Drosophila melanogaster: one gene and its partner. The protein of the gene in region 2 interacts with the protein of the main gene of each other region in a pairwise test. Each region holds a gene or a part of one and is shown on either strand. Other genes may lie near its edges.

What was found. The genes of interacting proteins can lie anywhere in the genome.
Region 1: the proteins of P32 (region 2) and CG12708 interact in a two-hybrid assay, tested with the Drosophila melanogaster proteins (2 studies listed by BioGRID).

The regions. Positions count from the first base shown.
Region 1 is NC_004354.4:15,672,339-15,679,683, reverse strand, and holds CG12708 (uncharacterized protein), read right to left. Parts: upstream 4,209-7,345; 5' UTR 3,997-4,208; exon of another isoform or gene 3,881-3,996; intron 3,321-3,880; 5' UTR 3,278-3,320; coding exon 2,060-3,277; 3' UTR 1,947-2,059; downstream 1-1,946.
Region 2 is NT_033778.4:17,669,659-17,676,174, reverse strand, and holds P32 (P32), read left to right. Parts: upstream 1-3,534; 5' UTR 3,535-3,640; coding exon 3,641-3,845; intron 3,846-3,965; coding exon 3,966-4,310; intron 4,311-4,368; coding exon 4,369-4,610; 3' UTR 4,611-4,866; downstream 4,867-6,516. Other genes in the region: Sema1b (semaphorin 1b), read left to right, coding at 1-264, 338-1,348, 1,411-1,603, 1,667-1,865; IBIN (induced by infection), read right to left, coding at 4,950-5,075; CG30109 (uncharacterized protein), read right to left, coding at 5,669-5,788, 5,847-5,993; CG30108 (uncharacterized protein), read right to left, coding at 6,369-6,488.

The sequences.
Region 1 (7,345 bases), on a different chromosome or scaffold from region 2:
CAATTCAATTTGACACGTTTCATATATCAATTAGGTGTCTTGGTATCATAAAGATTCAGTCAAAGAAAAATATAGTTGAAATTAAAAATTTGTTAGCAAACTTTAAGAAACTACAATTATAATAAAACTATATTCTTAAAGTAGGTTATAATCGCATTTAAACGCACACATTTTGTTAGCTATAAAACCTTAAGGAAACGCACTTAATTATTTGTACATTTTCAGATTTTCCCTATCGTTATGGATCTCTGCTTCGACTAACGCTCCACTCATTACTCGTCAACCATCCGAAACCGGAAGATATGTATAAAATGATATGATATGTGGTGGCAAGAATCCCAGCTAGGTACTTACTAGGGGTAAGTATCCGTTTCACTTTCAATCAAAACGAAATTAAAGAAATGCATGTTTAATGAGACGTTGCCGTCCGGAGCGGGAAAACTGGGCGCTGACGAATGAAAACATGGAACAATTCGGAAGCGGTCATTAGCCGGACGGACAAGAACCAGATAACAACAACAACAACCATAATAATAATAATAATAATAATAATAATAATAATGGGCAGGAGACCAGAGCAGCGCATTGTGGAAAACTAAAGAAAAGCGAGAGTCATAAAAAATAAAGTAACTACAACGGCGTGAACCTTCTTCTTCTTCTAACGATTCCTTTTGGGAAATTTTGGGAAAAGTTCAGAGCGCGGACGAGGGTTTGACAAGGGACCTGCCCTGATTTCGGCGGGTTATCCATATGTACATTTGCATGTATATCACGAATATTCCCTGGAGCGGGCTGCTTGACCGCTCGACCTTAGTTCGGCGATCGAAACTTGAGTTCTGGAGTTCGCCGGGTATCACATAATAAAGTATTTTACTTTGTTTTCCCTGTCACATGGCACAATGTACTCTGCACTGATGGTCAACCCATCATCTGCATAAGAAAGTTTCACGCTCTACTGAGCATTTGCCATGGGAAGTGGATGTGAATGTGGATTGGTGGTTCCTTGGCAGACGTGTTAACGCTTTTGGCTTAACCCACTCCTTTCGTCTCAAGGGTTGGACAAAATGTTATGACAGCTCATTTAACGCCGCGTCGCAGAAGTGGATTGCTGACCCATCGATCGCATGGCCTTGGATGGTTGGTGCCTGGCCGGGCTCCTTGGCATCCATCTGACCAGTTGGCTAATGGGCTAATGAGGCTCGCACGGCGGGATGCGATCCTTGGGGAGCGGGAGCTGTGGGAATGGCCTAGGTTCCATCTCAGCTGGAAGCCTAGTTATACAAACCGTTCGCTAACGAGTTATATTTCGTTTTTGGGCTACAAATTTTGTATCTTAATTATGTAAGGATTATCTACGAAACTGGGTTTGCTTCATAACTCATCACTATGATTTTATGATACCTTCAGAGAATAGTTTCCGCTGAAAGCAGTGGTAAATCGCAGTTTCCCGGGTGAAAGTTAGGCAACTTCCTTTTCCAAAGGTCGCTTTGAGCTAATAACACTCGAATGGAGTTCCGAGCAAGTGATACCTGTTCCATTTCCAGGTACTAGACCTTATCGCGTTAGATCGCACATAACTTGGCTGGCTGCCTGCCCATCGAATTCGTGGGCATTTGAAGCGTAAATAATATTTTTTTTCTTGCGACAATTGTCGCACAACCCCTTCCTTTTAGGGCCCTCATTACCGCCAAGTTCTATGTTCCATGTTGCCGAGGAATCCCCTATAGCTCGCTATCGGAGCATTAAAACGCTCATTAACCAGCTCGCTGTGAGAAAGAAGACCACTTGGGCAGACGGATGAGAAGACCCAGACCCTCTGCTCTGGAGGAATTGCTTTCCACGCACCGCTGAGCTTCAAGAGGTGTTTAGCATAAACTGCTGGTGGTTCCTTGTGGTTTCAACCGAATTATGACAGTGTGCCCCTCAGTGAATTTGGTTCTTTTCGTACATTCTGCATTCCAAATGATTTATTCTGGCCAAAAAATTAAAAAAAAAAAAAACGTTCTTAGGGCTATGAAAAAAATGTCTTATGCCTATGGTATAGGAATATCCTTGAGGATTAGCTTTCTTCCACCAGGGAGAAGCTGAGGCGTCTCTTCGTGGCGTCTCTGGCCTGCACTTGCAACCACATGGCATCCAGCTGACAGGCATCCTCCAGCTCCTCGCCACCCAACTCCAGTCCGCGACTCAGCTGGCAGTGCTCCTCCTCCAGCTCGCAGTCGCTGGTGGAATTGTGCCCACTGTCCGGACTGATGTGGCGCATCTTCTGGGCGGGAGCTGCTATGGATCCGGACCTGGCCGCTGCAAGCAGCTTCTGCGCCGACTGCCTGACGCTGGAGGAGATCTTTGTGGTGATCTTTCGCTTGCGCCGCACCACCCGCTGCCTGCGCAGCTGCAGGGAATGCCGCTTGGCATCCTGCGATTCGGATACGGTGGGCACGGGGGAGCGCACCTCCCGCTCCTCGAAGCCCTCCGCTGGCAGGGAATCCCTCCGCGAGGGCGACTTCCAGTACTCGCACAGATCGCTGGCCGGATCGAAGGCGGGGCGGTAGGTGGGCGATGGCGTCTGGGTGGGGCCGTGCCCGTGTCCGTGGCTGCTCCGGAGCACCTGCTGCCTGAGCCTGTGCCGCTGGCGGAGATGCTGCCTGGGCTGGCGGTGCTGATGCTGGTGCTGTTGCTGTCTGGCGTTGGGCAGCACCTTGCGGTTGCTCTCGAGGATGGCATCGATCATGCGCTCCAGGGTCACATCGCCCATCTGGCTGGAACTGAGCGTATTCTGTTCGCCGGTCGGAGGTGCTGGATGCGGATGCGGATGTGGTAGTGGCTTCTGCTCCAGGTAACGCGGCTTCTCGAAGTAGCTGTCCGGGATGCCCATGCCGCGCAGGGCGATCAGGGAGCCAGGAATGATGGCGGCATTGGGCGAGTACTCCGCCTCGAAGGTGGGCAGTGTGCAGGCGAACTTCAGGGGAACAGCAGTTACACCTCCAGTTGCCCCATTAGCGCCACTTGCTCCTCCCGATGGCGGCGTGGCCAGGATGTTGCTGAGGTCCTTGAGCAGTGGTGTGCGCGCATGGAGGCTCAAGGAGCTGGCCGGCAGTGGCGTGGAGGTCAGCTGGTTCTCCTTGCCTGGCGCCACTCCGATCGACTTCCTCTTGAGTTTGCCACGCAGGGCGTGGAACTCGCTGTAGCTGGAGCCGACTGCCTCGCTGCTGGTGGCCATCACCTCATCCCTGGCCAAGTACGAGGGTCGTGGCTGGTTGACGGCCCACTTGAGCATCTTCTTTGTCTGAAGTTTTAGTTTTTCGGTTTTGTAGTGGGTGCTGCAAGGAAAGAGCAAAGGAATCTGGTTAGGAAGGGGGCGGGTATTTCTGGTTCTGGCATTCCAGAACTTGACTTTCTTAAGGAGCAAATAAATAAAGAGGGCAGCGGCAAAGTTGTCGGGCGAGTTTTCGGCAATTTTGGCGCGCTTTTTCCGCGATAAATGTGCATGTAGACAAACATACATATATACATGCATATGTACATATGTATATGGATGTGTATCGATTTGGCGAAATCAGCGAAGCGGCAAAAATGAAATCAAAAACGAAATCAACCACTCCTCTCACGGACAATTAAATGGACGACGGGCAGCCTTTGGTCTGGACCTTAATAATTTAATTGACTCTGAACTTGATATGCTCAATTATTCTTATGAAATCTTAATGAACTTTTAGGTTGCATTCAAATTTGGCTCTTGAGTGGATACCAAAAAACCAAAAATCACAAGTTATCCGAAAAATTGAATTTTTGTGCATTTATAATTGCATTGATCCAGTTATGTTGGGAATTATTTGAAAAGATATTCATAACCATTAATGAATGAATTCATGAATCTTACAGGCACTTAAGTAATTTATTTTAGGTATATCCATTTATTTTTATGAGCCTTTAGATCTCATTGTACATGACTGCATTTTTAGTTTCAGTCATCTTTAGATGTTCACTTGAATTTACCTTTTTCAGTAGTTTATTTTTTTCGGCACTGATATTTATTTCCAACAGCAAAAAAATAAAATAAATGGTTCGCGGATTTATTTTAAGAATTGATTATTTGGTAGTTTGTATATGTAGTGCTTTTTTTTTGCCAAGTGTTGCGTTTCAACCGTCGCGTTTTTCTGGCAAAGATCGACTGCGTGCGTTCCCTTCGCCGGTTGTTGGTTGACTGACTGGCTAGCCGCCTTAACCGGGAGAAAGCAGAAGGCGACGAACGGACATGTTGCTCATGCGCAGAGGGAAGAGAGCGAGAGCGGAGAGATCAGGCAGTTGAACGGCAGGCACGTTCAACCGGCGGCATTGAAAGCGGGTGGTGGGAGACCACTCGTTGTTATAGTAATTAAAGGTATTTCGCATCTGATATCAGTCCACTTGACTTTAATAACTTATGCAAGATACTTTGCAACATTGATAATAATATAAATTATTTAAATAAGTTGTAATATTCGTATTTCTCACTTTTCCCATGATAACAACTATAACTAAAAGCATACCCTTTCAATACCTTTTATCGAATCTGGTATATATATATATATATATATACAATTACCTCTTCTCGTAGACTCGTACTTCCCAAAACTATCTAATATATTTCTATTTATTAGATAATGCGATACAAATTGAAAAGCAGAAGGCTGCGCTTTGATCTACATTAACGTTATCTTGATGTTCAGTTTTTATAACCGTTTACCGATCGATTTACGATCTGGCAACAGCTGTGCGAATTTTCCACGATCGTGAGATTTTTTATTTGGCCACCGAGAAGGATCATGATCAGTTGGCCAAGGATTCCTACGTGCAACAAGAAAGGGACGGCGCTTGTGAAGCGTGTGAGTGGGACGGAGCATAGTTGGACAGCTGTTCTCATCGCCGCTTGCGCCACAAAACATAATTTTCAATTACCTTTCTCGCAGCGTGTGGCTCCTTTCACCTTGGACTCCTCAAGATACCCTGTGTTTTTTTTGGGATCCTGAGAGTATGCTAGACCTGTGATTGTGTGGGTTACAGGAAGTTAGAACAAAACATTGGGTCTTAAAGGATTTTTAGTTTTTCATTTGATATTGAAAAGACTTTCTGTTGTTGTTTAAACAAGTTCATCGGAATAATGATTACAATTATTTAGTTTAATTGATGAAACTGTTTTGCATCATTTGCCAACTTTTTCTAACATAAATATATAAAAGGTTTAAATAATAGGTATCTTATAGTCGTTAGACCCTAGCAAGGCAATTCTTTCCGATTTTTCCTTCCTTCTCTCACGATTTTCGCCAAGAAAAGGACAACACAAACAGGAACTTTGGGCATTGTACAAATTTGGCCCATTGTTTATGGGACATCGCTGTCCTGTGGAAATTGTTGTGGAAAATTGTGCAATTGTTTTGCAATTTATTGGTTAAAGGGCTCCCGGTCCGTCCTGCTCCTACCTTCCCTCACTTTCCCTCCTGCTTTCTCTGCTGATCTCAAATTTATGATATTTTCGCAGCCGCCGATTGTCCGTTTGAGAAAAATAGAATTAAATCTCAACCGTACATCTGCCCAATTCTTCAGTTTTGGAATCTTTACTATTTGCTTTCGCCATATTATTGCTTGCTAAATTTATTTGACAGTTTTTGTGCAAAAACTAAACACAACTTTTTGTTCGCTGAGGAAGTGCCAGGACCTGCTTTAGCATTTCATATGACACTGCAGTTCCGGACCACCAAGTGCTATAGGATACAATTTATTGCAACTGGTGGTGGCACAATTAAATATGCTCAAGTGTTGTGAGTTCATCGAGTTCAAACAATGAGATCGTAAATATATCAGTCCCAAAGGGAATTTCCAAAAATACAAGACATCTTCATAGGTTAAATACCATCATAAGATGACAGAACGTTTTCTTTTTTAATACAGTATTTAATATCCACCTATTTTAAGGAAAAATCATTGCTGCATATATATATATTAGACATATTGAACCAATTTGAGTTCTTTACGACTTTTTCCCACAAACGTTTATTCAAATAAATCTCAAACCTTCGTTTCGCTAAATTGACATTCGGAAGGGGGGCACTACCTTCCCAGACCAAATTGAACTGGCCCTAATTTTCCATACCATTCATATGGATAAAACGTGAATATTCTGGACATGGATCAGCAGCTGAGTGACCAACGATAAATCTCGGGAAAAAAACGAAGCAAATTGAAATAAATCAATAATATTGGGCGGAGATCAAGGAAGATGGCCAGCAGCAGCTGCGTGCCCGAAGATCTGTGATCTTTCCAATAATAATCCGTGCCAGTCCTTCCCGAATCAATGGCAATTTAACGCATTGGTCACTGGCCAAAAAGGCCCAAGGATAATGCCGAAGGGATCGATGAGCGACAGCCAGAGCAGGCTACGAAGAAAAATAAGGAGAGGGTGACAAGGAAGATAAATTAGGGCAGGAGGAGCCCCTTTCCGCTTCTTCATTCCCATCATCCAGTTCCTCCTCCAGCCCAGCCGCTAATAAATTGCCCAACAATTGTGCAATTTTTCATAAGTCTAAGACTTCACGCTCCGATTTGCTACCGTTTTCCAATCGCTTTTCCCAATCAATGGCATTTTCTTACACACGTCGAAAAAATCTAGCTCTGGGTTTTTTCGAATTTGAACAACAATTTCATAAATAAAAGTTTTAGTACTATAGGTATTTTAAAAAGAAGACAAACTTTGGCTGCTAATGGAATCTTTCTGTATAATACATAATATTTGATTTGAAAATGGTTAAAAATCAGTCTTGAATGATATAGTAAATATTCAAACAATTCTTCAATGCCTGTTACTAGAATAATCCAGTTAACTGAAGTTTCCGCATAATCTTAATAAAATATGTGCCCATAAATCTAAACTAATGTATATCCTTTTCCTCTCTGTGCAGGATCCCATTCCGCTGGCCATCGTTGGAGAAACGTGCGGCGGCAAGGACATCTAGATAAAGTGAAAAGTGGGTAGGGAAAAGGTAATCTTGAATCACAAGCCGCACACTGATAGCGCCAGGACAGAGCGGCCGAGTTTTGAGGAAATCCGAGGAATCACACATAGGGACCCACAATGCACAATCCTTGGGCCGGACAGCTGTTCGCTCGGGGATTAGCACGGCTAGGCGAGCTCCTCTGCTCCCTCACCTTCTGCTTCTGCTTTCTCTCATTACTTTCGCCGGCGGGGCGCGCAAAATTATTAAAACCTGGCCCTGAATTATGGGCCATAATTTAGAATTTGTATTTGCTCAGAGCTTCCCTCTGGCTCCTTCGTCCTTCGTCCTTCTTCCTTCGATTTCCACTGCTTTCC
Region 2 (6,516 bases):
GTACCGAACAATATGATCTCAAGCAACTCAACCAGCCGGACTTTGTTGGCGCCATCGAGCGCAACGGTTACGTGCTGTTCTTCTTCCGCGAACTCTCAATGGAAGTCATGAACTTTGGCAAGGCCGTTTATTCGCGCGTCGCCAGGGTTTGCAAGAACGATAGAGGTGGTCCCTACAGTCACGGCAAGAGTTGGACTTCCTTCCTTAAGGCGCGACTCAACTGCTCGGTGCCCGGCGAGTTTCCGTTCTATTTTGACGAAATCCGTAAGTTTTAATAGACGTTTTGGATATTCTTTACAAAAATTATAATCTCAATTGTTGCAAACTCCATTTACAGAGGCCATTAGTCCGATTGTGGAGAGCGGATCCAAGTCACTGATTTATGCTGTCTTCACAACCTCTGTGAATGCCATTCCTGGCTCGGCCGTATGCGCATTTAACGTAGACGATATACTGGCCGCCTTTGATGGAGAGTTCAAGTCGCAGAAAGATTCACAGTCCCATTGGCTGCCAGTGGAGCGTGAGCAAGTGCCGAAACCACGTCCAGGACAGTGCGTTGAGGACTCTAGAACTCTGACCAGCATCGCGGTTAATTTCATTAAGAACCATCCCTTGATGGAGGAGGCTGTGCCAGCAGTGCACGGTCGTCCGCTGCTGACCAAGGTGAATCTGCACCACCGACTTACTGCGATCGCAGTGCATCCGCAGGTAAAGTCCCTAAGTGGAGCTTACTACGATGTTATATACAGTGGCACCGATGACGGCAAGGTGACCAAGTTCATCAATATACTGAGCACTCACCCGAACTCAACTGTTGATCGCCTGAAGACAGTGGTTATATCAGAGATGCAGGTCCTTCCACTTGGAACGCCAATTAGGGAATTGGTGATCTCCACTTCGAAAAACTCGTTGGTTGTGGTTAGCGATGGCAGCTTGGTTAGCGTGCCCCTGCACCACTGCTCTCACATTGTCGACTGTCTGGGCTGCTTAAGTCTCCAGGATCCCATTTGCGCCTGGGACTTACAGACACACGAATGCAAGAACCTGGCTACGAGTCAGCACAAGTTCGGAACAAAGACTTATTTGCAAAGCTTGAATAGCACCAAGAAAGCCGCTGCCTTGCTATGTCCTCATATTCCCCGAGATGCACCCGGTGCGGAAACAGTAAGCTTTGTTACCATGGCTCCACCGCCAACAGAGGAGCAGAAGCTTTTGTACTCCAATGTGGGCTCGTCGCAGGGCAATCAGCCAAGCTTGGAACAACAGCCAACTGGTGGCGATGACTTTGGTTTGAACAAGATCACCCTTACGTCCATGGATCCCGACGATATTATGCCGAATTTGAACGGTTAGTACTAATATTTATTTTCCTAGGAATATTGTGGTTTAATATTCGCATTTCGTTGACAGATCCCCAAAAGTCTACGGCCAGTGTAGATGAAATCAAATATGCTTCAACGCCCAGCTTCATGCTACTTACAACTATCGTTTTCTTTACCTTCCTTGTGGGTGGAATCGCAGGAATATGCTGTGTGAAGGCTAAGAGCCGCCTGATGGAGGCCCAAATGGATGAAAGTCACCGCAATCATTTCGGCAAGCCAATGTAAGTTTTATCTTGGAAGATGCAAATCCATATTGGACAATTCTAATTAAATGGTTTTGACAGGCAATTTAAACATCAAAATACTGGCAAAGACATCAACCTGTTAATGGGCTCCAATGCCTATACGACCACACAAAAAACACCTAATCTGGATTTAGAAAAGGATCGCAGTCATGAGTGCAAAAACTCCACGGAACATTTGGAAAAAGAGCTGCCCTGCAAAACGTCAACGCTGACAAAAGTGAAACGCACTTACATCTAGTGGCCTTGTGAGGGCAGCCAACTGCAAAATTAGTCGAATTTCTATACTCTAAAACATATTTTCGTTGTTTATGTTGCTGTTAGTTATAGTAACCCCCCACCCAATTTGCGAATAATGTAAACGACAGTCTCGGATGCGTTTGAAACGCATCCGAAAGATAGGAAGCAGAGCTGTTGCGTCTTTTTTACTTAGCTTGTATTGTAATTTAATTTGATGTAAAATTTGCGTAAGCTTAGTTTCTTTGTCAAAATTTAGTTAAATTTATTGACAACGTAGTGTGCGGGCTGCCGCAGCCTGGAGCTAACCCGAAGCATTCCGCATTCCCCTGACGTCGACCTTTGCTGTCCAAAATAGGAGTGCCGGCTCTTGGCTACGCAGCCCGATTGTGTCGCCCCTTATGTGTACTCTTAATGTATAATCTTTAAGTGCAAATATTAGAGCTGTACAAATTTAATCACATATCATGCATACCGAAATCGAACCCGAAGCGGACCAGCCCCAATTATTTCTCGAAATTCAATCGAATATTCAACAAGTATTTTGTTAGACTGAATGATTAATTATTCTATATGAGTTTGTTTTGTGGAGAACTAACAGAATGCGACAGAGACTTTAAAGCTCTATGCTTTGTGGCTAACAAAAGCGTAAAATTGTATCTAACATAAGCTCTATAAGGAATTGAACATAGAATGTAATTAAAAGTACGAACTAGGCTAAGAAACGAAGAAAACTTCTATGAGGCTGTTTGATAAGAACTGACACCGCAGCCCCCACATCATCAGATGGAAAAACGCACAAGAAAGCGAAAATAAATGAACACTGCAACAACAGCAAGCCTTATAAATAGTATAAAATCGTGTCGAATCTAGGCCTTAACGCTAAACTTGTAAGCTTTGGATGGAAATAATGAGCTTGGTTGGCAATCAACGTAAATCAGCATTTTAATAATTTTATGTTTAATTTCTAAGCTGTTGTCCGTCCCACTAAAGAAGTTGCATAAATACAATGTACAATGGCAATTTTATTTTTAAAACGTGTAAAATGCAATTTTCATCGTAATTAATATATTTTTATACGTATATGTACGCCTAATGTCTAAATCTTAACATAAGAAAGTCTTAAAAATGGAAAATCCCGATAAAAGCTATATATAAAATATTTTTAAATCTTACAAAAAAAAACGTAATGTAATGATTTCTCATATTGTGATAGATTTTATTGAAATTTTAGAAAGATGAAATGATATGCCTTTTGGTTGAAAAACAATGATATATATGACGAACGAGTCTGATTGCATGCATGATAATATTGCGTAGGAATGGGTCTTCCACTCGGAGGATCAAGAACCAGAGAAAACCCTTCATGGTGTTTAGTTTTTATTACTGTGTATGTCCTTGTAATGTGTATATTGTTGTATACATCCGATAAGCAATTCGTAAATCTAATAAAGTCGTCATTTTTTTCATAACTCAATGTGGTCTTTTAATAGGTTCGGATCTATGAAACATTGAATTTTTACAGCAAATATGGTTTGGTTATATTTATTGAAATCAATCATTTTTCCAATAAAGGCTAATTTCAAAATTTGAATAGTTTACGATAAAGCCTTTCGCGCCGAAAAATGATCGATAACTTCTGATATGGCTCTACAATACATCAGCCTCGTGATTTTCTGAATAAGATTCAACGGTCACACCAGGCACTACACTTTTGGCGTGTTGCACATTTCAGTGTTTAATTAAAGTAAAAAGCCCAGGTCGCGGTTATATAACAAAATGAACAGCCTAAGGACAGCAACCATGCGATTTGCCGCTCTGGCCAGCTCCAGTGCCGGATCTCTCGGCAAGCGCGATTTCACCCGCAGCCTGTGGCACATGACCAAAAAGCCGGTGACAGCCGGAGGATCCGATCATGTAACCGTGTTGAATCTCCACAAGCCCAGCATTAATTGCACGTGCGGCTGCAACGTGCACACCAAATGTAAGTTAACTCAACAAATTCTTACATGGGCGGTCCATGCCGCCGGTTACATAACCTCAAACGTTGGGTGACGAAATGTTGACCAAAACACAGAAAATTAAACGCTTTGTTTATATCCAGGTGAGCGGGAACTGGTGGAGTTCCTCACCGAGGAGATAGTGGCCGAGCGCAAGGTTCAAAAGGGCAAGACGGTGCCAAGCACCCTGGATGGATTCGCCGTAAAACTGACCGGCGCCGATGTGGAGCTCACCAAGCAGACGGATAAGGAAAAGGTGGTGGTCAGCTTCAATGTGAACCATACGGTGGACAGCGAGGAGGAGCCCGAAATCAACCCCAATGCTGACAAGCCGGATCTCGGTGAAATGAGAAGCAAGCCCCAGTTCGAGGTGGACATCATAAAGGGCAACTCTACGCTGTCCTTTACCTGCAGCTTCCTTCAAGGCGAAGCTCAGGAGGGCGAGTACAGTGAGTACTTTGACAGAAATCGTTTTGATTCACCGATAACACAGGTTTTACCTTTCAGACGATGTCTTCTCCATTGATGAAATGGCCATCTTCGAGGGCGAGTGGAACGATAAGGTCTACGCCGTCGCAGGCGACGTGCTTGACGGTTACTTGTACGACTTGCTGATCAACTTGCTGGAGGAGAAGGGCATCAGTCAGGAGTTTGCCGAAAAACTGTCGGACCTAGCCACTGCCCATGAGCACACTTCCTACATTGGTCTGCTGGAAAAGCTCTCCAAATTCACTGCCGGTGGCAAGTGAATGTTCGTCCCACTTAATCTTAAAGCATAAAGTTGTGTAGGTTTTTAAGTTTCTATTGTCTGCTGTCGCAGTTTCATCACCTAAAACAGTTTTTATTAGTTGTGTTTTTGGTTTAACTGTGACAGTGAAACTTAGTTTTTAAGCCATAAAACATTCATACATGTTTCAGATAAAACTATAGAAACGGTTGCCAATAATTCACCCTTTTCGGCATCAGCTTCGCTTTGGTTTTTAACAAATACAACGTTAATTCCCTAGTTTTTTTTTTTGTTTATTTTCTTTCTATGGTTGCATCGATTTTTCGTAAAGATTTTCCTGTGGGTTGAGTTTCGTGATCATTTAGAACTGCCGGAAATATGGCCTGGGATCGTAGTCACTTGGTCGGTATCCTCCCCAGTCCTCGTGGTTCTTGCAGGCGGCGCAGATGAGGAGAGCGAGGAGCACGAGGATTGGCAGCAGTTGCATCTTGATTAACGGCAAGTTAACTTTAGATTGTGGTGCTGCAGCTTTTAATGCTCCTCTTTATAGGTGAGATTGCCTCACCTTATCGTTGAAATAGTGACCTTTCTCTTGGGGAAGTACTCCGATCTGTTTATTGGGCGATGGGATTTACCATTAATGTACGACCTATATGTGTTATTGTTTCACAATAAGCAGGATTATCAGCGTGGAGGCCATGTAATGTCATACTTTGTCATTAAGATGGATTTTATATATTTCGTTAAAAAGCTTTTTTTTATACGACCAATAATAAGAACTGCGACCATTACCTAATCATAGGCTTGTATATACTTCTAAGAAACTCAAAGACGGATTCTGTCTGAATATAACATTTTTTATAGTTCGCTACTTGAACTTATTTATAAAACATTCACTAAATAATTTACATAAGGATACGAGTCATGGAACTAAACCAAAGCTGCTTCTGGTACTTGGTAGACCTAGGCTGTTCCTCCACTCTGGTGTCGGCGCTGATTACCGGTGAGGTCATTGTGTCCCGGGTTCTGGCCCACTGTGGATTCAATGCCGTTGCCAGGATGCTGGAGCTGCGTAACGGGTCAACTTTTTGTCTTGGGTTGCGTCTTTCCGCCGGAACTACTCGCATTGTCGTACTCCGAGCCGGTGCAGTACTCAGATCCGACCTCCCGCAGCTCAATCTTTTGCTCCCTCATGGCGCGCTAAAGGTCAAAGATTGGGTCAACCAGCTGGATGATGAAACTTGAAACCTGGGCTTACCTTGACGCACTCCTGATAGACCCGGAAAATCGGCGCGCAGCCCGAGTCATCCGTCTGGCCCTTAAGGAAGCCTTCCGAGAACCAGCTGTTGAAGCAGGCGTCGTACTGCTTCTTTAGCTCATTGCAATCCTCGCCAATGCTGTTCATTTGTGGAGTGAAGCTCTTTGAGTTTCAGTTATAATTTCTCTATTGAATAATAAGTCGAAAAAAATGTGAGAATGGTTTGTGTGAGGGTCATACTACAGATAAGCTATCAGAGATGTGGGACACAGCATATCGATGTACGTTTCGTTGAAACTGAACGTGCTATCGAAATTTGAATTTTCAATTCTTTAAGAACATCTAATTTATTTTAATAAAGGCACTCTGGTTATAACGAAATCAGTTGTCCATGTTTCATGATGATACTATTAACAGTCAAAGTACTACGAAATGTTTCTCTTTACAAGTATTTTGTAGCGCGTGCAGCCACCAATTAACGCTGGCGAGGATTAGGATGGCTATATGGAGCAGCTTACGGGGTCAGCTTTCGCCCGCCTGCTGCTGTTTTGCATCAGATCTATTCGCATTATTCTCCTCAAGCCCGGTTTCGAAGATCGGATCTATCTCTTGCAAATCGATCTTCTTCTCCTTAATAGCGCGCTGGGGATTACAGGTTGGTCAAACCATA